Sus scrofa: one gene and its partner. The main gene of each other region encodes a partner of the protein of the gene in region 2 in a complex. Links are inferred from orthologs where the notes say so. Each region holds a gene or a part of one and is shown on either strand. Other genes may lie near its edges.

Region 1 (3,750 bases), on a different chromosome or scaffold from region 2:
GGTGACCTGTTTTATTGTTACTGATCTATGGGCTGAGACCTCCAGGATCTGGTCGAAACTGTGCTGTTGTGCAACAGTTATAGTCCTTCCAGACTATAAGCTTTCAAGGAACCCTTCTGTCTTGTTCACTGCTGCCTCCCCACCACCAAGCACAGAGCCTGGCCTACAGCAGACACCCAGTGACTTTTTGTGGGAGTGAACAATACAGAGACCATGTATTGAGTGCTTATTGTGTGCTATGCTTGGGGCTAAGCTTTGCATCCCCCACTGTCCTCAGCCCTAGCCCTGAGGGGGAGGGGAGATGGGTCCCTAAGTATCATCCCAGGCAGCCATGGGGAAAGGGGGCAGAAGAGCCTGGCAAATGGTGGTGCTTTTAGACACTATCCTCATGCAATGGACTTACTCAGTGAGGAGATTGCTCTTACGATCAATGAACTTGAGAGCTTCTGCCAGTGTCAACTCCAGGAAGAAACCATATCCAAGGGCCACGTAGATCCGTGAAGTGTCTGGGCTGAGGAAACAGTAGTTAGAGGAAGGGGGGAAGTCCTTATCGCTGTTCAGCATACCACATGGTTTATTTAAGATCTAAAAAAAAAAATTCCCATCCCCCCACCTTCCCCAAATTTGAAGCTCTAGGAGGGCAGGGATTTTCTCCTATATTATTCACTGTCACATCTCCAGCACCTAGTGTCTGGTCTGTAGCAAATACTCAAAAAATATTTGCTGAATGAAGGAAAGGGGAAACTGAACCCTGTGGGCTCAGAGGGGGTGGGTAGACACTCACACCACTGTGTCAACGAAGAAGTTACAGCCCAAATCCACCTGCATATATAACTCCGAGTGATTAGTCTCCTGTGGGGCCAGGGAAAAAGAGGTAGGGGTCAGTGGTCAACTTTTAGGTCAGGTGACGAGTTTTGGTCTGGGGTCTCTCCTCTCTTCCCCCTCCTTTGCCCACATAAAGAAGGTATACCTAACCCTGGCATCTTTACCTGGAGTCGCTCAATGACATTTCTCAGCTGAAGGTATTTGGCCAGCTGTTCATATACCTTGTCACGATGGTCCAGCACCTTTCTGATGGGACAAGAGTAAAATGGTGACCAAGAGGAGGCCTGTCCCTCTTGAAATACCTCATATCATGACTCTCTGACACTCTCCTGTCACCATGCCCTAAAGAAGCAGTTTAGGACTCTGGGTCAGACTGCTTTGGTTTGAATGCAGGCTTTCCTTTTTACTAGCTGGGTGACTTTGGCAAGTGAGTAACCTCTTTGGGTCTCAATTTCCCTGTCTAATAAAACAGGGATGACAAATATTACCTCATAGAGTCATTAGGAAGATTAAATGAATGTTTACTATAAAGCATTTAGAACAGTGTCTGCCAAACAGGAAGCTTTATAAATGTGTTAGCTATTATTTATTAGTATTATTATTACACTCCCAAATGCCTTCCTCCAATCACACTCTCCCATTCTTACTCTAGAAATATCCTCCATCCCTTTTAGGATGCTCATAATCCTAGACCTGAACACTGTACTTCCTGCTCAGATTAATAATACCAGTAATTTTTCATACTCACTGACCCTCTAGTATCCAAGTTAAATCCTTTAGAACTGAACACATTGAAAACTCAAAACCATTGCATGACGAAGGTTCTGTTTATTTCCCCATTTCACAGATGAGGAAACTGAGGCACAGAAAGTCAAAGCGAGGTACAACGTATTCACATGGAAAGCGAAATGGCCAAGCCAGGATTCCAACCTGGAAACTCTGGCTTCAGAACTCTCGCTCTCAATCCTTAAGCGCCTTCAGAGGCCGCGCATGCGCCAGCACACTCTCCGCTAAGACCGCCCGGTCTCCACCCCCGTCGCACCCCGGACATCGCCCCTCCTTCCCGCTCGAAAGGCGCGCGGGGCCGGGCTCCGAATGCCTGGCCCACCAATCAGAAGGCTAGGCCCTTACTTCGAACGCCCCGCTCACCACGTGGACCGCGGCAAGCACCCCGCCCCCCTGTTCTGTCACTCACTGCAGGTCCCGCTGCAGCACGTCAGAGATGAAAGCCTCGTAGCGCAGCACTTTCTCCGCCGTGGCTTCCACTGCCCGCCGTTTAGGGGGCGTCGCCATGATGGGCTCCTGAGGAATGGGGAGGGGGAAGAGCACGTTGACCACTCAGTTTGGCCTCCAGCACAGTACAATTGCACCCTCTCAACGGTGGGAGTAGGATCGTCCGGCTCGTGCTGGGGGGGGGTGAGCTTTCTCCCCCTCCCAATTCAGGGTCTCCGTCACCCAGGGACACCCAAACGCGGCTGTTACCTGAGAGCCGCCGGCAAAAGGAGCGGCTGGTAAGAACCGCGGCTTCCGGGTGGCGCGGGTAAATGACGTCCGACGAGGGCGCTGGCCAACCAAACAACCAGGTGGGGTGGGGCAGTCGCGAGCGGAAGACTACACTGGGGAGAGGAGAAGGGCGGGGCTTTACAGAATCCGAAGAGATTACTGAAGGCTGCAGAGCGTGGGAACCCGGACGGCACGAGGAGCCTATGGGGACCGTACGTGGTTGGTAGGGGTAGGGTTTAATGGGATTTGGCGGTTTCTGGAGGAAGCGGGACGCACAGGTGGAGGTAGAGAGAGACCGAGTAAAGCGTTTAGTATTTAAGTCAGAGCTTTGGAAGCAGACCGGCAAGAATCGATTGCGGATCTGGTCTGTGAAAAGGAAAATACATCCCTGTATCCCCCTCGATTTGGACTTTCACACGGGAAGTTTGCGTTTGGCTCCCAGTAATGGGAATGAGTGTGAACATTAAAAAAAGTTTTTAGGAGTTCTTCTTGTGGCTCAGCGCGTTAGGAACCCGACTGGTATCCATGAGGATGCGGGTTGATTGCTGGCCTCGCTCGGTGGGTTAAGGATCCCGCATTGCTCTGGCTATGGTGTAGGTCGCAGACGCGGCTTGGATCTGGCATTGCTGTGGCTGTGGTGTAGGCCGACAGCTGCAGCTTAGATTGGACCCCTAGCCTGGGAACTTCCATATGCTGCAGGTGCGGCCCAAAAAAAAAAAAAAGAAAGAAAGAAAAAAAAGTTTTTAAACGGACACAAATTTTTCTAAAGTACACCTTTGACGACTCCAGCTCTGTGGCCCGCAATTCTGTGGCTTGAATCCTAGGGTTCAAGCAAAGATTGACAACGCATTACGTCTAAGCACATCATTTAATAGTGACGTCAAATGGAGGGTCGAAGCCCTCCGCCAGAGATAGGTAATATTTGGGGTTTTTTTCCTTTTTTAGGGCCGCATCCGCAGCATATAGAGGTTCCCAGCCTAGGGGTCCAATTAGAGCTGTTGCTGCCGGCCCACTCCAGAGCCACAGCAATGCCAGGTCGGAGCCGCGAATGCAACCTACACCACAGCTCAGAGCAATGCCTGATCCTTAACCCACTGAGTGAGGCCAGGGATCAAACCTGCAATCTCATGGTTCCTAGTCCAATTCGTTTCCGCTGTGCCACGAGGGGACTTCCCTGAGATAGGTAATCTTGTAGTTAGAAATAGTTCGTGTGTTTTTATTTAAATGTGTAGGCTTTTATTAATTTTTACATGCTCAAATTACTGGATAGATTTATTTCCCATGTTAGATGTTCGAATAATAGCATCTAACCCGGTAAGTCCAGGCCTGAGCCTGAAGGAGAACCCAGGTGCTGAATCCCCCAAATGTCATTCCCACCTGCACGGCCTAGAGTGCCCCCTCCAAATCAGGGAACTCTTCCCA
Region 2 (3,650 bases):
TATCAGGCCCAGGTTTATTAGTAAAATCTTGCAAATCAAAATTTGAGAAGTTCAACCTAGTTTACAGATGATGTTGATCTTGGTGCCAGACTTTGAAACATCACTTCTTTTCATGTGAGCTTATGACTTACCAATGAAAGTAAGACAGTAATACCTGCACTATCCTAGGAAGCTCTATTAGCAAGAGAGTCAATAGTTATATCTGCTGCATATTCTTGTGCTAAAATATATTTATTTTAAAAAATAACACCCAGGGAGTTCCCGTTGTGGTGCAGTGGTTAGCGAATTCCAACTAGGAACCATGAGGTTGTGGGTTCAGTCCCTGCCCTTGCTCAGTGGGTTGAGGATCCGGAGTTGCCGTGGGCTGTAGTGTGGGTTGCGGAGGTGGCTCGGATCCCACCTTGCTGTGGCTCTGGGGTAGGCCGGCAGCTACAGCTTCGATTCAACCTCTGACCTCTGGGGTAGGCCGGCAGCTACAGCTTCGATTCGACCTCTGACCTGGGAACCTCCATGTGCTGCGGGAGCGGCCCCAGAAAAGCCAAAAAACCAAAATAAATAAATAAATAAATAAATAACACCCAGGAGTTCCACTGTGGTTCAGCGGAGTTAAGAATCCAGCATCCCTGCAGTGGCCTGGGTCACTGCTGTGGTGCGAGTTTGATCCCTGGTCCAGGAACTGCCACATGCCACGGGCACACCCAAAAACAAAACAAAACAAACCAAACCACTCAGACTGCTCTCTCTCCCAAGTTCTTTGAAAGTATATGACCAAACAGGTAAAAACGAATGCATCCTAATAAATGCTAACTTAACTTTTAAGTAGTTAAAGCATAGGGAAGGAAAATCGTTCCATTCTTGTTATACTATGACTTTAAGACAGATAAATATGTCAAAGTAGTTTAATTACAAAGTAATAGATTCTAAGTTAGAATCAAGAAAGGTCACAATAGAAAACATAAGGTAGGGAAGATAGTTCTTCCAAAAAATTACTGCATACTTTAAATGATTTAAGAGATTTTCTTCAAAAGTAATGAGAGGAATTTCAGTTCATTCAACTCATTTAAAAATGAGGAAATAACTCTATGTAAAACATGAAAATTAAAAGCAACTGGCACAATTGTGATTTTGCTCATTCAAAACAGGTTTATCTTGATTTACTCAACAGATGTGTTCCTAAAAAGCTGTGCTCAGATGTTAGCTAAAACATAAAAAAAAGGAAAAAAAATTTAATGAATTGGAGGAAAAAATTAAAACATACAAAAATACAGTGTATCATTCTGTAATGCCAAATATCATCTTAAAATGTAAACAATATCTAATTTTTCAGTGTTACATTTGAGCTTTTTTAGCTTCTTTTTTTTTTTTTTTTTTTTGCCTTTTTTAGGGCCGCACCCACGGCATATGGAGGTTCCCAGGCCAGGGGTCAAATCAGAGCTGCAGCTGCCACTTACACCATAGCTCACGACAACACCGGATCCTTAACCCACTGAGTGAGGCCAGGGATCGAACCTGTGTCCTCATGGTTCCTAGTCAGATTCATTTCTGCTGTGCCATGATGGGAACTCCCATGTGAGCATTTTTATATACTGCATCCTTCATGCTGAAGAGGAATAGCCCTTTATTTACAAATATGGGTATTAAATGCTAGCATTAAATAGCATGGATGGAAATAAATACTAATAACATCATTTGAAATATCTAAAGATAAATATGCTAGTGTCTTAAAATGGATTTTAAACATGAAATCTAAAAATAGATATTGAAAAGTAATTGTCATTCTTATAAACAGTTAAAGTTTAAAATCTGGTAAATTTGAAACATTTTAAAATTAGAATTCTTTCAGAGGAAGAATAACTAGACTATCAAAGAAATTGCTTATCTCATGTCTCAACACTGATGAAATAATCTTACCATATATGAAGGTTTCCAGCAAAATCCCCAGTAGCTAAATATCTCTGCTGTAAAGATGTTGCACCAAATGTTCCACATTTAATGGGTTTGGCCTTTTCAATCTTGAGAGAAGAGAGGGAGAGAGGATACATTATTTATGTAAGCAGCTATTTATAATCCATGATATTTATGGCTCTATTACAGGAATTAAATAGGCACACAATAAAAAAGGCAATTAAAACATTGTCTGATAAAAATTATCATGCTTTTCCTTTAGTCACTTTTATACAATTTAAAAGTTCAGGCAGGGGAGTTCCTGTCATGGCACAGTGGTTAACGAATCCGACTAGGAACCATGAGGTTGTGGGTTCAATCCCTGGCCTTGCTCAGTGGGTTAAGGATCCCACGTTGCTGTGAGCTGTGGTGTAGGTGGCAGACTCGGCTCGGATCCCGAGTTGCTGCAGCCCTAACATAGGCCAGAGGCTACAGCTCCGATTAGACCCCTAGCCTGGGAACCTCCATATGCCGAGGGAGCGGCCCTAGAAAAGGCAAAATAAATATATAAAATAATATAAAAGTTCAGGCACCTTGGAGATACTGCAAGTTGGGTTTCAGACCACCACAAGGAAGCAAACTGCAATAAAGTAAGTCACAGGAAGTCTTTAGTTTCTCAGTGCATGTAACAGTTATGTTTACACTATACTGTAGTCTGTTAAGCATGCAACAACATTACATCTGAAAAAAAAAAATACGTACCTTAATTAAAAAAACACTGTACGGCTAAACAATGCTAACCATTATCTGAACCTTCAGCAAGTCATAATATCTTTGCTGGTGGAGGGTCTTGCCTTGATGTTAATGGCTGCTGACTGATCAGGGCAGTGGTTGCTAAAGGCTTGGGTGGCTGCAGCAATTTTCTTAAAGTAAGGCAATAGTGAAGTTTGCTATTTTGACTGACTCTCACACAGGCAGCATTTTACCCACATTAGAACTTCTTTCGAAATTGGAGGCAGTCCTCCCTAGCCCTGTTTTATCAACTAAATTTATGTAATATTCTATCTAAATCCTTCACTGTCATTTCATCAATCCCACAGCATCTTCACCAGGAGTAGATTCTATCTCAAGAAACCACTTTCTTTTTTTGTTTTTACAGCTGCTCCTGTGGCATATATAAGTTTCCAGGCAAGAGGTCTAATCGGAGCTGCAGCTGTGGCCTACACCACAGCTACGGCAATATCAAATATTTAATACACTGAGCGAGGCCAGGAATCGAACCCACATTCTCACAGGGACAATGCTGGGTTCTTAACCTGCTGGGCTACAATGGGAACTCCCAGAACCACTTTCTTATTAATGTTCTATCATGAGATGTCAGCAATTCCGTCACATCTTTAGGCTCCAATTCTAATTCTAGCTCTCTTGTTATTTCCACAACTGTAGTTACTTCCCCCACTAAAGTCCTGAACCTCTCAAACTCATTCATGAGGGTTAGAAGTAACTTCTTCCGAACTCCTGTTTATGTTGATATTTTGACCTCCTTCCATGAATCATGAATGTTCTTAACAGCATCTAGAATCCTTTCCAGAAGGTTTTCAATTGACTTTGTCCAGATCCATCAGAGGAATCACTACCTATGGCAGCTACAGCCTTATAAGATGTATTGCTTAAAAGTTGAAATTACTCCTTGCTCCATGGGCTGCAGAATGGATGCTATGTTAGCAGTCATGAAAACAATGTACATCTCCAAAAGAGCTCTTGAG

Evidence for each region. Proteins that work in one complex are often made in the same cells at the same time.
Region 1: WDR92 (region 2) and UXT share a complex: the UniProt entries of both Homo sapiens proteins name them as parts of the PAQosome complex. The link is inferred for Sus scrofa from reciprocal best matches to the Homo sapiens genes DNAAF10 and UXT.

Annotation. Positions count from the first base shown.
Region 1 is NC_010461.5:42,181,717-42,185,466, forward strand, and holds the start of UXT (protein UXT), read right to left. Parts: upstream 2,416-3,750; 5' UTR 2,308-2,415; intron 2,128-2,307; 5' UTR 2,119-2,127; coding exon 2,021-2,118; intron 1,072-2,020; coding exon 990-1,071; intron 853-989; coding exon 785-852; intron 512-784; coding exon 404-511; intron 1-403. UniProt on the Homo sapiens protein: Involved in gene transcription regulation. Acts in concert with the corepressor URI1 to regulate androgen receptor AR-mediated transcription. Together with URI1, associates with chromatin to the NKX3-1 promoter region.
Region 2 is NC_010445.4:74,091,590-74,095,239, reverse strand, and holds part of WDR92 (WD repeat-containing protein 92), read right to left. Parts: intron 2,013-3,650; coding exon 1,912-2,012; intron 1-1,911. UniProt on the Homo sapiens protein: Key assembly factor specifically required for the stability of axonemal dynein heavy chains in cytoplasm.